3 linked regions of the Lonchura striata genome follow. The protein of the gene in region 1 binds, or shares a complex with, the protein of each later gene. Links are inferred from orthologs where the notes say so. Each region holds a gene or a part of one and is shown in the gene's direction. Other genes may lie near its edges.

Region 1 (7,595 bases):
GCACTGAGATGCAGGTATGGGATGGAGAAGAAGTGCTCAGGGTACAGTGGCCTGAGCATGCCTCATAAAGTATTTCAACTCTTTTCACTATTATAATTCATTGGTGACAAATTGTTCTTTTTTTTTTTTTTAGAATGGCATGCATAAATTTCTCAAAACATATGGAAACAGAACTTTTTCTTGAAATAAATCATCTTAATTGAATAATTCTTCATACCACATAGGAATAAATATCTTTAGAAAATCATTTTTTGCCATTTTCTGTCCAATACTTTGGAGAAAGTTGTTGTCAGTAATGATTATCATTCTGCCAACAGGACACCTAACTTGCCTGGAGATTTAACTGTAGGAAAACAAATATATATAAAGGATCTAATTTTCAAGTGGAAATAAAGGAAATATTCATATTTTTTGCCTCAAATGTTTCTAATGCCAATGACATGCTTTTCACAATGTATTTCCCTCTTCAGTCATCCCAATTCTCAGCCACTATGTAAGCTGCACTGTATTTCTTGCTGCACAATCAACTGAACAAGCCCATCATGATTATACATCAGAAGAAACACAATTAGAAAGCAATCATAAAGCAACAATTCCCATCTAACATGTTGCAACCACACAACAGAATCCTATCAAAATTCCATATGGTACTACCAAGCCGTATTTACTGTGCTACCAATCTTCTGGATCCTTTTCTCCTCATTTTCTGATGATCCACCAAAAGTCTCTGTTGACAAACCTATAAATGATAAATCAATGTTCCAGGGTACTTAAGAAGGCTCATTTTGAATTTAAAATTTAATAATACTGGCTCAGTAAATTTAAGCTACCTGAGAACTCCCTAGTTTTCTATTGATCTATTAATATGAAAACTTCAGATGTGACAGGAGCTAAACTGAATTGGATTAACATTCACCTTTCAAACTATAAACCTTCAGGTTGGGGATTAAGTAATGAAGGGGATTAAGCTGTAAAGAGCAGGATTCATTGGATTTCACATAGCATGTTACCAGTGTAATAGGACATCATCCAGCACTAAGAAGTTCTCAAGGCACAAAAAAACTCAGTAAAGTCCTGTTCTTCCCAATTCTGAAACCAGATTCTTATCCTCACATGAAATGTTTAAAGATAATAATTCCTTTGTTAAATTGTCTCTAATGCGACAGAAACCAAAGATAAACAACAAAACTGGGCATTAAGTATCCCCTTCATTCTGGGAAAAATATTTTAAATCTAGAAAAAGGTGTAAAACTAGTAAAGAACCTAACAGTGAAACTAACGGTGAAATCAACTCGCAGTACTCGAACCAAAACTGAAGGGGCGCAGATAACGCGTGTGCCTGCTGCCATCTCCTGGTAGAAAAATGTCAGGTCTCCGAAGGAAAACCTTCCCCAAAAACGGAAAAAGAACTTTATGTTCTACAGAAAATGCTTTCAAAACTCTCAAAATTTACAAGATTTTATTTCACTGTACAAGGCAGCCACTACCTGGACATAGCTCCTTACAAGCTAAATGGAGTTCTAACACTGGCTTAAGCAGAGAAACACCAAAGCTCTGTGATTTTTATAAAGGAAATAAGTACTCACCCGACTTACTCTAATTTAAAAATACATTCAGAAAATTAACTGTAGAAATTTACACACGGCATTCAAAATCAAAGGAAGTCGCTTTGGGAAGCCTGATCATCTTATTACAAGTTCTAGTGCAGATTATTGGCCCATACTGACTCATTTTAGTATCCATTTCTTTTCATGAATACTTGAAGTTCAAGACAATCTTTCACTGTTGTGCTACCCTCATTGCCTTTGATGAATTGCACAGAATTGATATTTGTAATAATATTCCATGTTTTATGTTCTAAAAATAGGATTAGCAAACTTGAAAAGAAATTTTATTTTGACAGCTGACAGAAGGCACCTGTACTTACCCTGCAAAATTTAGTGCCACAAAGACTGTTTTAACTTGCATTTCATAGGCTATTTTGCTGTTCTGGAGAGAAGAGACTTGTCCACATCCTCCCAAAGGTCAAAAGATAAACAAATAATGGGAATAAACTTTACAAGTGGATTATGTCTCCTAGGGTGCTGAATGACTGTGGGAATGTGACCTGGCGTGCCTTAGAAAAAATGATGGCATACTAGTGATTTGGATTGCCCATGGTTCACTGACAATTGCCATGGGGAAATAATCACTGAATGTTGCAGAAAAGCCAAGCTAAATGTGGAACATTTCCCTTCACAGAATGAGAATCCAAAAAATTGTGTTGCAACATCAAGCTGTAACTGAGAAACTGAACAATGACTGAAGAGTTGTAAGAGATCTAAATTAAATCCAACTGGGATTTCACATTCCTTATGAAAATGGAGGTTTTATCATGAGATGATTAAAGCAAGGATAGCCAACTCCTGGTGTGCCAGAATGTACAACTTAGCCTGTCATCCTGGTTCGTGAGAGTCCCTTGGAGCTGGTCAGGAAACAGCCTGTCACAAATCAGCCACTCGCCCTCAGCAGGATCCCTGGCAGAGCTGCAGAGCCCTCCTCCTGCTGGGCATTCCCAGCCACAAACTGCAGGCACTGTCTATGGAGCGTGGTCAGGAACATGAGGAAGGACTTGTGTGCATGTCCCCATCACACCTGGCCCGGCCATGGTCAGATGCCAGCTGCAGCTTACTTACAGCACAGAAGAAACAACACATTTCCAAAGGTTGTGCAAATTGCACCAAATGCAAAGGTGTTGGGGATTTGTTGTGGAGGAGAAGGGAGCACATCAGGGCAGAAACTGGTGCTAATCACAGCACAGAACCAGGGAGAGAAACGACCCAAAACTCTGAAATGCCAGGTGCAGGAAGCTCAGAGTTCCAACAGAGGTCACCAACCACTCTCAATGTCTGCCAGGTGAACCTTGTCAAAAGTAACGAGGAAGAAAATAAGTCTGACACTGATAAGCATATGCACCTGTGTGCGTGCAAACTATCCAAACTGAAACACAGACATTAACTTGGTAAACCAAGAAACACCTTGATTCCTTTCTTCTGTCTGATTTCAACAGGAAGACAGCTAGAGGAGAAATGTGTTAAATATTAATCAAAAGCTCTGCTATTCTTGCCTGGTCTCACGCTTTCAAGTTATTCTGTTTATCACAAAAATGAGCAACTCTTCCAAAACAAAATGGACAAGAAGCCAAGTGTAGGAAAAACCCCAGAGGACTGAGACCATTTGGGGATGGATAAATAAGAGCACCACAGTACATAAGGTTTTAAGCAAAACAGCTAATATTCACAGCAATTGAACTTCTAAAAGTTAGGCTTTGGATGAAAAATGCTTCCATTATTACAACCTTGGAAATATACCACTCTTACTCAGAAAATACTTTATTCAGAAGACTTATGTATAACACAATCACTAGTGAACAAGATCCAGAATAAATCTCCCCTGGTTAAATTAAATTATTCAGACCCTTTCAGAACTTCAGCACATGACTTCAGGACAATACCATTTGTTTTAATCACAGCAGCCTGAATCCTGAGAAAAACCATATTTCCTCTTGGATCAACACAGGAACCAAGAGAAAGCCTAAGCTTTTGTGGAAAAGTATTTTATTACAATAAATAAGCAATCACACCATCAATTCACTCTCTTAGCATCTGGCCCACTGTACTGTGTAATGATTACATGGTTTTTATTCTCAGTATAAATATTTGTGTTTTGAATACAACTTCATTTTAAGACTGATCAATTTGTTTCTTTTAAGGGTGATATGGTTATCTAACACAAGTATATCTTAGATGATAATATCAGATGATGCTTTGGAAAAATCACATTCAAGTTATAATTAATTTCATTTGCAGCTCTGCTCCATCCATAAATCCATAAATTTTCATTTTCTTGCTTACAATTGATTTTATAATCTAATTAGCTGGTGACCTTGTTACTATCCCGACAGACCATAACTTCCCCTCCTCATATTATTAACATACTTCAACATTTCCTTGTTTTTCTCAGTCTCTCTTACCTGTTAACCTCTGCCACAGCTTCCTCCAGGTGACGGACACTGCTGGTTGCAACATCTTCCTTGGTGTCCCTGTATTAACAGGACTAAAGATGTTTGACCAAGTAGCAAATTCCCTTCACCAAGGCAGCCCAACAACCCTAATGGTTCTCAACCCTTTATTATTTTTATTATTACTTCTGGAGTTGTTATGGATTGAATTAAATATTGTTTATCCACGTTCTCCCCACCTGCCTCTTCACACGTGGGGGGTGCTTGCAGAATAGTATTTTTGATTTCAAACAGCTACTGCATGACTTACACCATGAAAGCCACCAGTAAATCGTAAATGAAGTATTTGTTGAATTCATACCTGGAAAGTACCATTTTTAGGTTAGTACGGTCGAATACACCTCGGCAGAGTGAAACGCAACTTCCCACAGCATTCCCAAAGCAGAGCTCCTCACTCGCTCCACGCCCGCCCCGCGCTCCCCTCAGCCCCGCCCACAGACGCGCCAGCACCGGGAGCGGCCGGGCAGTTTAACAGGGAGGGAAAGAGCCCTTCCTCTCCCGGCAGGCTGCAGCCCGGTTTCCACGGCTAAGGGGCGCGGGGAATCGCCATTCCCGGAGGGAAAGCCGCCGCGGCAGCCTGAGGCGGCGCGCGCCCCCCTCCCGCGGCCGCGCGCGCGGGAAGGGGCGGGCCCGGGGGCGGGGCCGGATTCGAACCGGGCGGCGGGGAAGCGGCGGCCATGGCGGCGCAGCAGCAGCTCGGCCGGGAGCACCAGGGCATCACCCTGCGCGGCAGCGCGGAGCTCGTCGCCGAGTTCTTCTGTGAGGGGGCCGCGGGGCACCTCGGGGACCGCGCTGCGAGAGAGGGAGGGAGAGAATGGGGGTGGGAGGGGAGGGGGTGGGAGGCCGCGGCTGGTGGGGCGACATGGCCGCCGGCTGGGGCGTGGGGGGGGGTGGCTTGGTACACATCCCTTTCCCTCTCCGCCTAAATCGTGCAGCCTATGGAATCAACAGCATCCTGTACCAGCGGGGCATCTACCCCCCCGAGACCTTCACCCGCGTGCAGAAGTACGGGCTCACGCTGCTGGTCACCACGGACGCCGAGCTGGCCAACTACCTCAACAACGTGACCGAGCAGATGAAAGGTGCGGGCCGGCGGCGGGGCGCTCCCTGCGGTGTCCCTGCCGCTGCTTCTCGCGCTCTGAGCGACTGCCCCGGCTTCTTGCAGAGTGGCTGTACAAGTGCACCGTGCAGCGCCTGGTGGTGGTCATCTCCAGCATCGAGAGCAGCGAGGTCCTGGAGCGGTGGCAGTTTGACATCGAGTGTGACAAAACTGCAAAGGATGACAAGTGAGTTCCACGGTCCCTCCACTCCTGCGCTTCCCTATCCTGAGTACCTGGGCAGATCAATGCCACGGACTTGTTCCTTCAAAGCTTTCTCAGTGCCCTGCCCTCTGTTTGTCTGCAAAACAATAGAGGGAGAGCAGCTATCACTTAACTTTTCTAAGGACTTAAAAGTGTCACTACTACTCTAAAAATACTCTAGCAAACAGACTACCAGAGCTTAACAAAGATAACTATATTTAGAGGAAACTGTCAGTGCAGTAGTAGTTTCTTCTCTTACCAGAATTTTCTTATTTTTCCAGTGGACCACGGGAGAAATCTCAGAAGGCAATTCAGGATGAAATTCGCTCTGTCATCAGACAAATAACTGCCACAGTAACCTTCCTGCCACTCTTGGAATCTGCCTGTGAGTATTCCAAAGTGCACTAAAGAAATAAAATACTTTTGAAAAACCTCAGTAACTTTCCAACTTCGGAAAATATTTTTCTGAGGCTTTTTAATGATTACCCATTGTGCACCGTCAGGTTTGTGAGACAGCATGAGATCAAGACAGAACTTGGTGTGGCTTAACGAACTTGAGGAAATTAATGTGTTTGCCCTGAGGAATGCAAGTTTTCATGAATAATTTGCTCCTATGAAATGTTATACAGAGCTCATCTCCACAGCATTGTAACATGCTTTAAAAAAAATTACAACACAATTTAGTTATTGAGAAAACTAAAAGGATGTCACATTAATGTAACTTTTGGGTTGGTTTTTTTTTTTTCACATAACTAGTATCAGTGTAACTTCTGAAAACCTTGATCCTTGTCTCTAAGTCTAGAAGCTGCACTTCAAAGCTGCCACCATGTCCTTATGGTGAATTTGTTTTCCCTTGCTCCCAGGTGCCTTTGACTTGCTGATCTACACGGATAAAGATTTGGCAGTGCCAGAAAAGTGGGAAGAGTCAGGACCGCAGTTCATAGCCAATTCAGAAGAGGTTCGGCTACGTTCCTTCACTACCACAATCCACAAGGTCAACACTACAGTGGCTTACAAGAAGGATTCTGTTCCCTAAGATGCTGGGGCAAGTTTTGTGTGTGTAAATATCCTGTCACCTTGTATAGTTTCTGTTCATCATGCAGCTAAGCTATGAGCACATCATTACTGTCCTCTTGATAAAAGTATGACAAAAAGACAACGTGCATGTCTGTGATACTGTGACACTAGACTAACCTGGCATTTTTAAAGAGATTTAAAAAAGGTACTTATGGTCATAGTTCAATTCTTACTTTACTGTATGTAAAATAAGCTAAACTAATGGTGTGTTAAACCACTGCCTCTGCTAGAAAAACTGCCTAAATCTAGGATTAGTTGCTAGAGTTGTATTATTCTTAAACTGCATTCTGTTAGCAGTCTTAAATTCTCTGTAGCAACTAAAATAATCTCATTCCTAGTGTGCCAGTTTTCATGTTAGAAGCCTGGGCTGTTTTATTACCAGAAATAACCCTAAAACAAATCAACCAAACAATTCTTGTACCACTCTACAATGGTAGCAGCTGTTTTATCAGGAAAACTTTAAACACATGAAGCCTTCTATTTTAATGACCACTGGGCTCTGGTTCTGGGGACACAGTTGTTCTGTGTACGTCTGTAGTGTCTGTCCAGCGTTTTCTATGTTTCTATTCTTGGTTACAGAATAAAGCTTCGGGTTTTATGTTCTCTAATTGAGAGTCTACAGTTCTTGGTACTTCAGATGGTTCCATGAATGCTACATTCTAGTTTATAACTGTCACACAAGCAACACCCAAGACATCCTCCTTGTTACTTAACTGTTTCCTTCCTGAGTCTCCATGTGGTGTGGACTCTGTATGAAATCCATTAATGGATTAACACTTTGCTCCCACCTAAGTTTTCAAGCAACAGTTTAAACAGTCACAGTGAACTAATGACACTGCCTTCCATATTTGTTAAACAGCACTGGACTCTTTCATGTGTTCTTACCATTTCTGTAGTGGAAGAAATTAGGGATTTAAATCTCTGGAACTTTCAGACTTACATGGTTTTGTTCACTTCCTTCACTAAATTCATTCCAGCCAGAGTGTTTAACTGGTTTTTCCACTCTTTTACAGTGATGCAGAACTTTCTGTTATAATAATATAATTTCAGAATTTTATTTAAAAAACACAGATTACATATACCCTATCCCAGGACTGTATTTCTTGCATTTTCTTATTTCCAGGAAATACTTCTCCCCAGCAGTCCCAATACAGCAA
Region 2 (5,870 bases), on another chromosome or scaffold:
GGTTTCACAAAGGTACAAATATATGGTAGAAGAACTCTCCTGCATCCTGACATAGGGATTTGTACCCTGGCTGCTGCAGGATTAAAGACAGCACTCTGGGACCAATCTGTGATCCAGGAGCCAATAAGTGCAAATGACAGAGCAGCCACAAGAAAGTGGCAAATAATTTTCAGCAATATCTGCATCTCTCTCTCAAGAAAAATACAGTAGGCATCACATGCTAGAAGAGATTCCTAAAAATCAGTACTGAGATCCAGCTTTACCAGCTCAGCAGACTGGTTAAAGCTTGGCACAGAGACACAAAAGATGAATGGTAGTTCCTTAGTGCAGTGTCCACTCTTCCATCCTTTCCTTGGCCATGTTACCCATAGGCTGTCTTTGGTGAAGTTAATCACTGCAAAATAACCCTCTGGCAGGAAGACCTCCTTCTGCAACCTCAAAAGACTCACCTTGTACTCGATGTTCCCATCTTCTGCCTGGTCAGAGAATGAAACAAGACAGAAGAGTTAGATGCTGTGCCCACAGGGACTTCTACAGGCACCAGCTGCCCATATATTCTGAAGCTGGTGCTGAAGATTTCAAAGAGAGGGAAAGTGGCAGAAAATGACTGTGTTAATCCCAGCTTTCTGCCATTCTTTCCAACACTCAACTAGAACTTTCCAAATGATTTGTTTGTGCTGTTTGTATCCCATATCATGAACACCAAAGGACAAAACTAGAGTGGGGTACAAGGGTAGTACTGTCCAGGGGGGAAATTTTTTTCTAAACAGTAAAGAATAGGGCCAGCCTAACAGTCAGAGAGAAAGTTCCAGTTTCAAAAAGGTACAGGCCAGCATATGACTTACAGTGTCACCCCTCACCCATCTGTGACCCACAAAATGCCACCCACAGCATCCCACTCCCACCCTATCCAGCAGCTTCCATCCATCCAATGTGCACAGAAAAAGGGCCTGAGAACAAAAGCTTCTGCTTCCTCTCCTGCTCAATGATACTCTCCCTCACTCAATTAATTTTTTCATTGACTCCCTTCTACATCCTTATGTATCTTCTCTCTACAAGGAAGGACTACAGACATAAAGAAGCATGGTAATGACTCATTTGCTAGCTAGTCACTGGCCAAAGTTCTGGAGAGCCAGACCTGATTGGGACTGTCTGTACCCAATATGTTCAGAAGTACTTTCTCAGGGAAGGCTAGATGGGGTTGTAACAGAAAGGTCTGGGTACTCATCAAACTCAATTCAACCAAAACAGGCTCCAGCTTACCAAAGAGAATTGTATCTAATTTTAAAATTAGATATACAATATTTAAGTATTTTTTTCCCAGTGATTCACTATAAGGACCAATAAGAAAGGGCTGGAGCCTGTAGGAAGCCATATACTCTGTCAGACTAAATGGGGCTGGCAACAGTAGGCACTTCCTTTTCCTCTGGACACCTATTTGCATGTCAGGAGAGGCAACAGCCCTATCCTTGCCTTCCAGCTCAGCTCTTAACCACAGTGGCACTTACAGTGGCAAAAGGCCAACAGAAGTTCTCAATTGTCAGCTCAGTTCTCTGGCTGCAGAGCTATGCCATGAGAAAAAGGTACTTGTAGCAGGTTTTCCCTTCTTGCCATCTACCAGTTCTAAGCAAAACCCATTCACCTACTGCACTGTCGTCTAAATAAGGGAGTGGGTCTTCTCCAAGGCTCTTGAGACTAGAAAAGCAACGAGCCTAGACTTGCTGGGGCACACACTGCACAGGGTAGCCAGAAACAGGAAGCTGAGTTGAAACCACAAGAGACTCTCCAGCCTCCAGCTGAAAGGAACAACTGCGGCTGCAGGGCACAGTCCTGCCCGTGGAGAAGATCTAACACTAGCAAAGTACTGTTTTCACATCTTCCCAAGAGTACCAGGTCTGTCTTGTGGAGGAATTGCTTGCTCCCAGCACAGGCTATTATATATTTTACAGAAAGTTCACTGACAGGGGCCGAGCAATGGAGTCTGAACCAATGTAATTCCCCCCACAGTGACAGTTCTATGAAAGCGGTGACAACTGCCCCAGCTGAGCACACATCCACGCTACTACCAATGCCACTTCTTCCTGCTGCAAGAGACAAGTGCCCTACCCCCTGTCCATACCATCTGCAGCCCTGTGCAAGGAAACAGCTGTCAAATTAGCTGGGGAGTCACCTGTAAAGGGGCTCAGACCCAGCAGAGCAGATCGCCTCTCGGGGAGAGATGCAAATGAGATGCTTGGAAGTACGAGGCGAGCAAAGCTTTATTTTCGAAGCTTTTCGATGGGAGGCGGCAAAGCGCCCGCAGACAGACGCCAAGCAGTGCGATACCACTCACGGGCAGGGTCCGGCGGACCCCGCAGGGAGCTCGCTGGCACCGGGTGCGCGAGCACGGCCCGGAGGAGAGCCCGGGCAGGCGGGCACACGGCTCCCGGGGCCGTGCGGCTGCTGTCAGCCCGACCCCGGCACAGGCCCGCACCAGCACCGCCGGCACCTCCAGCCAGACCCAGCCAGCGGGGTCCGGCCGAGGTACCGACCCGCTCTGGGGGGCACCGGCCCTCCGGCCCCTCCCGCCCCCGGGCCTGGTCTCGCTCCCTCCGCGGCTGACGGGACGCGGCGGCCGCCGGAGCTCACCTCGGGCGGCAGGAACGGGGGGTTGTTGGCCTTCCCTCCGCGGCTCCGCCCGTTCTTCTTCTTCGTCTTCGAGCCGCCGCCGCCGCCAGGCGCAGCCCCCCCGCGCCCGCGCAGCGTAGCACCTGCCCCGCCGCCCGCCGGCCGACAGCAGCCCCCGAACAGCTCTGACACCCGGGAGTCCATGGTGGACACCGCGGCCCCGCCGCCCCGCTGCAGCGTCCGCTCCGCTCCCCGCCCAGCCCCGCCGGCCCGGCTCCGGCCCCGGCGTCACAGACAGCCGCGCGGCGCCCCGGGAAAGCGAGTCCCGCCCGCCTACGACGCCAAGAACGCGCTGCGCGCCTCCTGCTCAAAACTACATCTCCCGGCGTGCCCCGCGGCGCGACTTGCTCGGTCCCGTATGGGTTCTACCTGCGGGGGCTGATGGGAGCTGGAGTCCAACGGAGAGGGCGCCGCCTGTCGGCCCCGGTCGACAACGTGCGGGATACCGCCGCTCCCCGGGCCCCGCTGCCGGGATCTGCGGACGCCCGTGGGTTATCCATTTGTCAGTTCACAGCCCCGGGTTCCCTAGTTATTGATATCGAACGATCAGTCATTCTGGATTCAGTAAACTTAGGCACTTTCGAAGCTGTTTGGCCTTGGAGGTATCTCATGACTACGCAGAGGCAGCAGCCCGACACAGAGCGATCCCAAAGCCCACGTTAAGATCCAACGCGGAGGGCGGCCGGAACAGCAAAAGAACCTGTAGCTGTGCGCCGCATCCCCTCACTAAGTGTATTCCCAATCTCCAGTTCCACGGCCACTGCGCCTTCTCTTTCCTCGCCGCATGCCCTGGGGAGAGCGACCCTGGATCACTGTCGGTGTAGAACTGACACAGGTGGCCGCGGTTCCTGTAAAGCAGTCTCAGAAAAGCTCCTCTCACCATCCCGCCCTCCACTCGCCATGCGCTGGAGGCGGCACCCAATGGGGCGGCGGGCACAATGTTTCCAAACACGGCACTCCCTGCAAGCTCCCCGCCTCCGCCACCCCGCGGCACCGCGAAGGCGGCTCTTCCGCAAGACAGCGGAGCCGCCAGAGCTGCCGGGAGCGGGGCTGAGGAGAGCGGAGCCGCCTCCTGCGGATAGCCTTGAAAGAAGCACAGCCCAGGTCCCGGCACGGCCTCAACCGAGGGGCCCCGGGCCGGGATCGGGTTGGGAACGGAGGGGCGGGGCTACGCGGAGACCTCCGCCCCTGCCACGCCCGCCAAACTTGGTGGCGTCGCCGCCAGAGGGCGCGCGGTGCGGTCCGTGCGCCCTTCCCGTGAGGCTCGGCGGCGGCGGCATTCAAACGCGGCGGCCGTTGGGGCGCTCGCTCGCTCCGCGCTCCCGGGCTGGCGGGCCTGGGCCGCGGCGCGATGGGGCCCCAGGGGGACGCCTCGGTGCCGGGCGGCCCCGCCGTGGCCGTGGCCTTCCCGGGAGCTGTGTGCCGGGGCAGCGGCTGCCGCTTCGCCTGCGAGCTCCTGAAGCACGTCCTGCACCAGCGGAACCAGCTCCCGCTGCCCTACGAGCAGCTCGCCTTCTTCTGCCGGCGGGCGGCCCAGGTGAGGGGCGGCGACCGCGGGTCAACCCCGGGCCGGGGGACTGGGTGGGCCGCGGCGTTTGGATTTTGCTTGCGAGCTTCTGTTCTCGCTCGGGGACTCGTACAGCAACGTGTCGGTGCCTTTAAAGTAAAGCGCTTGTTGTGGCTGCATCCCTAAATGCCTTTGCCTCTTCTTTTCAAAACGAGGCAAAGGCAGCGTTAAGTTCAGGCTGCTGAAGGTGCCGACAAATTGCTCTCAGTTGATTGTTTCATACTTTCCGCTCAAAGCGTGTCACTGCCTTGTTTGTTACCTCTAAGCAAAAAACCAAACAAAAATACTATTAAATGTTTTCAGAGAGATGGCTGATCTTTGAAAGATGGGCTTCTAATTCCTATTGGAATTAATTAGTAGGGCGATTCAGATTCCAGCTGAGTAGCTATGGATTGTGCTTTCGTGTTCCTCTTGCCATTTCGTGATGCGGAGAGATGTGCATCCTCCCCATGTGGGTACCTGTAGCTCTCAAAATGAACACAAGCTGCTTGTTCCTTGACTCTCTGGGATGGGCCATGCTTTCTGCAGCATATAATACATGTTCATAACTAACTGTGTTAATATGAGTTTTTGTCTTCCAGGATGGAGTTGGAATTGGGAAACCACATTCCCTGGGCCTGGCAAGCAGAAAGTGCCAGCAGCTGCTGATGGAGCTGGAGGGATTGTTCCAGCACCTGGAAGTCATGTTTAGTCTGACGCTAGTTCCTCGGGTTCTTTTCCTACTTGGAGGCAATGTCATCAACCCCAAGGAGCTCTATGAGCTGAATTTGGAAGGGTTCTGTGAGGGCTCTGCTGAAGAGAGCCTTGAGACTGCGCCCTGTGTTCGCCAGCTCTTTCACCGCCTGTTTGTTGCTGACGTCTTTAGTGAACTTAAGGCTCTCCCTGTCACAGTCACTCTTGTCCTGGTCCAGGGCCACCGTGACTGTGGTGTTGAGTGGTTCCGGCCCAAGCTCAACTACCAAGTGCCGACCCGAGGGAGGAAGCTGACTGTTAAGTTGTCCTGTGATGGAGACCTCCATGTTAGTGCCTCACCTCCACAGCACACAGTACCTGCTTGGGAGGACTACGTCTGGTTCCAAGCACCAGTGACCCTCAAAGGCTTTAGTGAATGAATGGTTTCTGTAGAAATTTAATTGGAAATATTTAATTGGAATACTGATTACCTTTTTTCTTTAGGTGTTAATTTTAGCAAATGTAACCATGTATTTTTGAACCATGTCTGTCTGAATTTTTTTGTCTTCATGGTGTCTACTGCCTTCCTGTATCTTGCTGCGCTCTTCTATTGTCCATATTTCCTGAGCTGTTGAAGGCAAATCCTCTTTAAGGAACAGTTGCACACAGGTCCAGCGATTCTTTAGGGACCTGATCTGTGACATGGGATGAATTAATGTGTTGGGAGTAAAACTTCCATGCTGTATGCTTGCTGAACTGGTAAAGGCTGGATATGTACAATCTCCTCCTGAGTTTTAATATGGCTATTTTCTGACACTGCCTCTGTCATGTTACACATAGGCTCTCTTAGGTGAAGTTACAAAATAACTATCTGGAAGGAAAACCTGTAGTCCTTGAAAGGCTCCCTATAGCAGGAAAACCAGCAGGCAAAACTGGAGCGGGACACAGAGGTAAAATTGTTGCG
Region 3 (7,413 bases), on another chromosome or scaffold:
TGCAACTTAAGTTTAATGACCAGACAGATGAAAGAACTACAAGAAATCAGTACTAAAGGGTTCAGAAATTACACAGTGCCTTTTTACTGATTAAATTCCACAACTCAGCATTAGCACTTAAAAATGTCACCATACAATCAAATAATAAGCAGTTTGGTTAATAATTTAAATTAAATAAGTTGTAATTCTCCTATATAGCCAAAATTAAGCCCTGCACCTCTCTGAAGAGTGCAAGAACCTCCACCCACCACTCAGACTCATTCTCAGTTTAAATCAGAGTCCAGGAGATGGGACAGAGGATATAGGATGTTCCAATTGCTCAGAGACTGGACGAGTTTAAGATTTGCAGATGACAAAGGGCAAGTAATCCTGTTTCTCTGTACATGTGGATGATCCTTCATTATCTGTGGAGCAGGTGTTCAGAGGTGGGTCATGACTGCACTGGTGGGTAACACGAGGGTGTCACTGACCAGACAAGCCGTGGTACCTCCACCTGCAGCCCACTGCCGATGGTCCAACACCTCACCTGTGCCTCCATGCCTGTCCCCATGGCGCGGACCCAGCCCTCACCTGCGGGCAGCCTCCTCGATGCTCTCCCCGGGCTGCACCTTCCCCCCGAAGCCATTCCACAGCCCGGCGCCGAACCCGCGCTTCTTCATGCCCAGGAGGACGCGGGACGGCTGCACCACCAGGACTAGGGTGAAGAGTCTGGACGTGTGCATGGCTCCTGGGAGAGGGACGAGGCGGCGCGCTGTGCCAAGAGCTCCCGGCCCCCTTCGGAGGGAGCCGGGGGCGCACAGAGCCCCTCACGCCCAGCACCCCGCCCCAGTGCCCGGTCCCTCTATCGCTCCCACTGACCTCGCTTTCCTGCTACCTCAGCACCGCCTTCCCAAAGTTCGACCCCCCCTTCCCAAATCCTTGTTTCCCCACACCCCCGGGAATCCTGACCACCTTTAACACCCTCCTCTCCCAGCACCCCTTCTCCCAATCTTCGACCCCCTCCGCAAACCCCTGTCCCCCCAGATTATTCTCCGACCACCCTCAACACCCCTTCCCCTAATCCCTGCGCCCCTAGAAACCCCTCCCCAAATTCTAAATCCTTGCTGCTCCTAACCTCCCTCCCTGAATCCTTAACTCGCAGCTCCCCTTCCCCACATCATCGACCCCGACCCCGCGCGCACCTCAGCCCCACAGCCGCGGTTTCCCGCCCGCCGCGGTGTCCCCCTCAGCCGCGGCCCTTCCCGCGCCGCCGCCGCCCCGCCCGCGGCCGCCGTGAGGGGAGGCGGGACGGGGCGGGCCGCGGCGGCCATGGCGGCCGCGGGCGGCGCCGCCATTGCCGGGGGCAGGTGCGCGGCGGGGTCGCTGAGGCGACCCCACGCAGGGGATGGTGGCGTGTCGTTCGTGCCGGAGCTTCACTCGGGAATGGGTTAATGGGTGTTTGGGGTTTTAGGGTTATGCCGCCCGGCGGTTCCCGTGGCTGTTGGTTGCTCTGGCGGGAGCTGGCAGGAGCTCGGGCGTCCCTCCGATCCTCTGAGCGGTCGCGGGGGGCAGCGGCCCCGCTGAGGCAGCTCAGGAGTGCTGGGCTCACTCTGCCATGTCGTGTCCGTAAAACACCTGAGCAGAAGCTGGAGTGGGATCTCTTTCCCCCCTTAGCTCAGGATAACACGTGAGGCCTCATCCAAAATCTGACCCTGCTGTTGTGATAGGACCTGATAAGTAAAGGTGCCAAAAATCTCAAATTTAGGGGCTTCTTTTTAGAATCAGGGAATGGTTTGGGTTGGAAGGGACCTCTGGAGACCATCTAGCCAAATAACCCTTCCAAGGCAGGGTCACCTGGAGCAGGTGACATAGGAACGTGTCCAGCTGTAGTGAGAATCTCCCTACAGTGAGACTCCACACCCTCCCTGGCTGCCTGTAGTGGCTGGAATTAATTACTGTAGAGACTTCTGAAACACAGAGTGGTTATTTACTAACTTGCCTCTCTTCCTGGCTTTGCATGAGCAGGTGCCTGCACACCACAGTGAAGTTTCTGAGGAAAACTGGAGCTGAGCAGAGGTGGTTGGAGCGGCACTTGAAGGATCCCTTTGTCAAGGCATCGAAGCAACAGCATTACCGATGCCGGAGTGCCTTCAAGTTGCTGGAAACTGATGACAAGCTCCGTGTTCTTCGTCCAGGATTTTCTGTTCTTGACTGTGGAGCAGCACCTGGTGCTTGGAGCCAGGTTGCTGTACAGAGGGTCAATGCCTTAGGTACTGGTAAGTGCAATTTTTTGGCAGGCAAGATGGGGGTGATACTCCTCTTGATGAGTGTGACAGATCTGTGAAATACTATGGAATGTAAATTGAAATACTATGAAATCAAGGAAATATTATGATGGTAACAATGTGGGGAGGGGACATGGGTACTGGCAAGTGCCAGAGTCACTGATAAAAATATGAAAGGGTGAGCCTAGTAATTCTTCATATAGAAAAATTGTGTTTATGAAATAAAACATACCATGTGGTGCTAGTGATCTGATTAGCTGATTAGCTGTTGTCGGGAAGATCCCTTCATCCAGTTCTGAAATAGGTGTGACTTCTAGCAATTACCTTGGCTTATTTAAAATATTGTTTCCCTTCTCAAAAAATGGAAGCAACTTCTTTGCATGGTTTATATGGGTGAAGCCATTGATGTTTACAAAGTGAGGTGTTATCTGCAGCATTATCCAGGATTTCTGGACTGTCAGCCTTATAAGAGCAGCAGAAAACCAAAAAGAAGCCTCCTTGTTTATCCAAAGTAGCTGAGTTTTTGTGTCTTGAATGGATGAGATTATAGCAAATCCAGCAAACTGCCAGGGGAGGAGAAGGCAGCTGTGGCAGGTGGTGGGTTTTGTCTACTGACAGACACAGAGCTCGTGCATGTGCAGTTTTTTGCAGCCTCTCTGAGTGTTCCCTGTGTCATTCCTCCTTACAGATGCTGCTGTCCCCACTGGCTTCGTGCTTGGTGTTGACCTGCTGAGGATTTCTCCCCTGGAAGGAGCGGTTTTCCTGTCAGAGACTGACATGGCAGAGCCCAGCACGCTGAGGGCCATCCAGAGCCTGCTTCCCTTGGGGAAGGCAGATGTCATCCTGAGTGACATGGCACCCAACGCCACGGGCATCAAAGAGCTGGATCATCAGAAGCTGATCAGTCTGTGTTTAGGCCTTCTGGATATGTCCCAAAGCATTTTAAAGCCAAAAGGAACGATGCTCTGTAAATTCTGGGATGGATCCGAGGCCCGTCTGCTGCAAAACAGACTGAAGGAGCAGTTCCAGGATGTGAGAACTATAAAGCCTCAGGCCAGCCGGAAGGACTCTGCGGAATCTTATTACTTGGCAAGGCTGTACAGAGGGAAATGAAAGTCATGAGCTGCAGATTCTCTGACATGGATTGGAAATCTCAATTTAGTGGGTGTTGAAAGGAAAATCCCACCATTAAGACCTTGGGAAAATTTGTTGCTCTTCTTTAAGTCCATCAGGCTTTTCAAATACTTGCAGACAAAATGGTTGGGAATGGAGAGGAATAATCTGAAAGGCAAGCTCTGGGAATGGAGTAATGGAAATTAAAATAAAATGCTGATTATACGAGTTTTTAATGTGTGCCTGAAAATCATTGCACTGTTAATGCTGCCAGACATGAGACTGACCATAAAGGTGATCGTTAGAACGTGAGGAGAACATGAGCAAAGGGGAGTTTGAGCCAATTCAGTGCCTTTCAGAAGCTGGTGTGATTTATTAGCAGGTCACAGGTAAAAAATAGAAAATGTGTCTGTGCACATCAGGATCTGTCATGCATGGTGTGTAGCACAACCATGTGAGAGGCACGGCTGACTTGGGAATGTTCAGCCCCATGGCTCTGCTGCCTCTCCCACAGTACAGGTTATATTTAGGAGTTGCTGCCTCCTGGCACTCCTAAATCCCGTCAGTGCCAGTGGGACAGGGTCATGGCCACGCAGCTCATCTCCCCAGTGCTTTCTAGGTGTGGCCAGTGGTGTTTCTCAGGCGAAAAGACAAGATATTCCTAAGATCCCAGTAGGGAGAATGACTGAATTGCCAGAAATCTGCTTGCACAAATAAATTCAGCTGCTGCCTTATCTGAAAGCGACAAATTTCATATTAAACGCTGCTTTTATCGGGCTGACCGTGGCATGAGTTATATGAGAGGCTGTTTTGAAGACTCCAGGCCTTTCTCATCACCACCTTGGGGCTGCTGGCTGGATCCCTGCCGGAGCAGGAGGGCGCGGGGCGCTTTTTGGGGGTGCGGCCCGAGCTCTAAGCTTCACCGCCTCTTATCGGGGCATTACGGTAGCGCGCGGAGGGCTGCGCGCATAATGCCGCCCTTACGGCCCACGGCGCCGCCGCTCTCGCGAGAGGCGGGCGCGGAGTTCCCGCGAGACGCCGTGGCCGGGGTGAGGAGGGAGATCCAAGCGGGGCGCGCGGCGAGCGCTGAGGGAGGCACGGGGAAGGGGCGCGGACGGGGGAAACGGAGGGAAGGAGGCTCCGGCCGCGCCCGTCCCGCCCCGCTCTCCCCCAGGGGAGTCGTGCCGGCGAGCCCCTCGGTGCCCGGAGCTGCCCCGTGCCCGCCGCGGCCGCTCCCGGTGCTCGCTGCCCGCCGCGGGTCCCTGCGTACCCTGACGGGTTTCTGGAGCGGACCGGGTCACACACACCGAAGTGTCGTCGTAATCGCTGGGAGGTTTGGGAACGGGCTTGCTGGAGCTGCCTGCCGGCAGGTGCGTTTAGTTCTCCAGAGCTCGGTTTGGGTTTTGGCAGATCTGTTGGTTCTGCGCCGCTCTTATGCTTCCTGCTCGTGATGCTGTAAATACAAACAGTAACTGCTGTGTAACCCCGGGAGTGCAGGAGCCCCGAGGCAGCCCCAGGTCTCTGTCTGTGCTGCATCCATGGGGATGTTGTGGCTGCCCTTCCTGGTCCTGGACCTTTTCCGGTGTTCCTGGGGATTTATGGAGCGTGCAGTCACTGGAGGGACTCACCTGAGGTTTCCTGAAATCTGGGGAACCTTGGAGCCTTTCCTGAGTGAGCACCATGCTTGATTTCTCTTTGGCCTTTTAGTTAGTACGCTTCTAAATTGGGAGGAAAAGCTGTATCTCATTATATAAATAATTCGATGCAGTTTCACTTATACAAGTGATCAGTGGATTTGGGAAGACTTGTTGGAAATTAGAGTCCAAAGTGCTTCTGGGAAACCAGAGACAAGTTGTGTAGCAGGAAGGGTTTGCTGCTACTGTGGAGTTAGTTCTTCTCCCATCAGATTCAAAAATTAGGGGGAAGAAAAATGAGTTTGGTTTGGTCAGAGAAGAAGATGCTGTCTTGCATCTTTTTCTCATTTCAGAGGAAATTACAATGTCAGCCTGGATCATGTTTTCTGTGGATCCCAGCAGTGCAGATTGCAGATTGATTCTTACCCTGTAAATGGGAAGACCTCGTGTTTAGTCTTTCCTCAGGGCAGTGATGGATCCCTCTTTAGCAGAGCATCTTGCTCTGAGTGTTTTGCTGATGATTTTCTGTCTATTTCCAGAGCCATGGAGGACTTGGAAAATAATACCACTGTCTTCTCCACCCTGAGATCCCTCAACAACTTCATTTCACAGCGAATGGAGGGAGTGTCTGGGCTGGCTACACCTGGATCTAGTCAAAGCTCCTTACAGATGCAGTACCAGCAGAGGATGCAGGTGAGGAGTCCTCATCTTGGTGATTCCTGCAGCACCACTTCAGTGTGGCCATGTGCTCCTTTTGATTCTAGGAGCTGGGAATTTCATTCAGTTCTGACCGTTCATTCTGAAACTGACACAAACAAATAAAGGAAGCTTGCTGCCACCGTTCTGGAATATTTTTAGAATATATTTAATTTTTTTACAGTGTCAGTTTTATTTCTGTTTTATAAAAGTTTAAGAAAGGTTCTTTGAATTTATTCCCTGCTAGTTATATCTGTATAGCAGCTCAGGAAATTAAATTATGAGTTGTTTTCATAATGCTGAACAAAGGAGCTTTATACTTTAACATTTTTTCTGGTAAGACACTTTGTTACCTTTTTTCAGGATTTAAAGGCTTCTTTGCCTGGACACATACAGGAGACTTGCATTGAGCTGTGGCTTTGATATGCAAACCAGTTGTGCTTTCTTATCCACCTGAGTTATTTACTTTTTTTTTTGCTGTTAGCTGCTTCAGGCTCATAAAGCATAAAGTAAATTGACAATCTTAGATCCCAGGAACTGTTTATTAGGCTGCAAGGAAGTATCTCTATTCTGTATCTTAATATAATTTCTATTTCAGTCTCCAAGTAAAAAAATGTTTGCTTCTTTTTAATGTAAATCTGCTTTGCATTTGGAACGTTGACAAAAGTTTAAGCTTCTGTCTGTGCTACATCTCTGGTGGCAGCAGTAGTTGCAGGAGGCTTTCTGGTTAGTCTCCATCTGCTGTGTGTTGGATGTACATCATCAGGATGTGAGTAGTTCTTATAGTATTGTCTGTGCTCTCAGGTAATTTGACTGAAAAAATGAAGTGGAACGTTGTAGAGGTTGTGGAAAAATGTGTTATTTTGCTCAGCAGTTAGTTTTATTTGGAGCATGATCTGTGCTTCTTAGGCTTGGAGAATTCATAATTAGCTTTTTAGATAAAGTAGATTTTGTCAGACTACATCTAGAGATTGAGCAATTCTGATTTAGGAACCAGGAATTAGTTTCTTTCCAATTCACCTTGATTTGGTGTGGGTCTCTGAGCATGGTGTTGAACTCTTTGTTTCCCCATCTACAGCTGGTGTGAGAAGTGCCACAAATGTGGTGATAGTTTGTAAAATGGCAAGTTAGTGTCAGCGAGCAGTACAGGGCACCATGATACTGTTGTGCTGTTAATGGTGTGCAATGTCCCTTCTCACACATGAACTGGCCAGCTGGAGGAACAGGCTGGGCAGATCCACTCCAAATCCCAGCTGCTGCAGGTGGAACGGGAGAAGATGCAGATGGAGCTGAGCCACAAACGAGCTCGCATCGAGCTGGAGAAGGCAGCTAATACCAATGCCAGGAACTATGAGGTGAGTGGATGTCTGCTCATGGCTTGGGAGCATGGCCTAAGCCAGAACACATGGAGAGCATTTACATCAATGATTTGGGTCAGGGATGTGCTTTGGTGTGCAGTGTCTGTCTCAGAATGTGTATAGTTACTCTTTGGAGTGAAACCAAGCTGAAAGGTGCATTCCAGGAGCAAGCCTGGTGTTCTCCAACTGCTAATGGACACTGTCTTCAGAGCAGGACTTCAGTGACTCTGGAATGCATTTATTGTGTTTGCATTTACTGCGGGCGTGGCTGTCAAGTTGCCAGCACCAATGCATCTACAGAACTGCTCTGCAGGTCCGCTCTCAGTGCACTGCACTAACTTGCTAATG

What was found.
Region 2: the proteins of MAD2L1 (region 1) and MAD2L1BP are in contact, whole or in part, in a crystal structure (PDB 2QYF), measured with the Homo sapiens proteins. The link is inferred for Lonchura striata from reciprocal best matches to the Homo sapiens genes MAD2L1 and MAD2L1BP. Residues at the interface, in NP_002349.1 of Homo sapiens: Tyr33, Arg45, Thr52, Leu54, Lys122, Asp126, Glu127, Arg129, Ser130, Arg133, Gln134, Thr136, Ala137, Thr138, Thr140, Phe141, Leu142, Leu144, Glu179, Val181, Arg182, Leu183, Arg184, Tyr199, Asp205; in NP_055443.1 of Homo sapiens: Pro61, His79, Tyr82, Gln83, Gln85, Pro88, Leu89, Pro90, Gln93, His96, Ala185, Leu187, Arg188, Phe191, Arg192, Phe195, Asp198, Ala199, Phe200, Ser201, Glu202, Leu203, Gln204, Ala205.
Region 3: the proteins of MAD2L1 (region 1) and MAD1L1 are in contact, whole or in part, in a crystal structure (PDB 1GO4), measured with the Homo sapiens proteins. The link is inferred for Lonchura striata from reciprocal best matches to the Homo sapiens genes MAD2L1 and MAD1L1. Residues at the interface, in NP_002349.1 of Homo sapiens: Tyr38, Leu61, Tyr64, Asn67, Val68, Trp75, Gln82, Lys83, Ser89, Ile91, Glu92, Ser93, Gly94, Arg99, Gln101, Ser150, Phe151, Asp152, Leu153, Leu154, Ile155, Tyr156, Thr157, Asp158, Lys159, Asp160, Leu161, Val163, Lys166, Trp167; in NP_001013858.1 of Homo sapiens: Glu527, Arg528, Ala530, Leu531, Gln532, Gly533, Asp534, Tyr535, Gln537, Ser538, Arg539, Thr540, Lys541, Val542, Leu543, His544, Met545, Ser546, Leu547, Asn548, Pro549, Thr550, Ala553, Arg554, Leu557.

Annotation. Positions count from the first base shown.
Region 1 is NC_134606.1:70,014,593-70,022,187, forward strand, and holds MAD2L1 (mitotic spindle assembly checkpoint protein MAD2A), read left to right. Parts: upstream 1-4,692; 5' UTR 4,693-4,737; coding exon 4,738-4,819; intron 4,820-4,995; coding exon 4,996-5,142; intron 5,143-5,225; coding exon 5,226-5,346; intron 5,347-5,642; coding exon 5,643-5,746; intron 5,747-6,224; coding exon 6,225-6,397; 3' UTR 6,398-7,046; downstream 7,047-7,595. UniProt on the Homo sapiens protein: Component of the spindle-assembly checkpoint that prevents the onset of anaphase until all chromosomes are properly aligned at the metaphase plate.
Region 2 is NC_134605.1:36,067,291-36,073,160, forward strand, and holds MAD2L1BP (MAD2L1-binding protein), read left to right. Parts: upstream 1-4,018; coding exon 4,019-4,204; intron 4,205-4,815; coding exon 4,816-5,346; 3' UTR 5,347-5,359; downstream 5,360-5,870. Other genes in the region: GTPBP2 (GTP-binding protein 2), read right to left, coding at 450-476, 2,629-2,811. UniProt on the Homo sapiens protein: May function to silence the spindle checkpoint and allow mitosis to proceed through anaphase by binding MAD2L1 after it has become dissociated from the MAD2L1-CDC20 complex.
Region 3 is NC_134618.1:13,418,126-13,425,538, reverse strand, and holds the start of MAD1L1 (mitotic spindle assembly checkpoint protein MAD1), read left to right. Parts: upstream 1-4,397; 5' UTR 4,398-4,426; intron 4,427-4,488; exon of another isoform or gene 4,489-4,747; intron 4,748-5,021; exon of another isoform or gene 5,022-5,048; intron 5,049-5,550; 5' UTR 5,551-5,554; coding exon 5,555-5,704; intron 5,705-6,921; coding exon 6,922-7,062; intron 7,063-7,413. Other genes in the region: NUDT1 (oxidized purine nucleoside triphosphate hydrolase), read right to left, coding at 571-722; MRM2 (rRNA methyltransferase 2, mitochondrial), read left to right, coding at 1,309-1,346, 2,005-2,255, 2,953-3,377. UniProt on the Homo sapiens protein: Component of the spindle-assembly checkpoint that prevents the onset of anaphase until all chromosomes are properly aligned at the metaphase plate.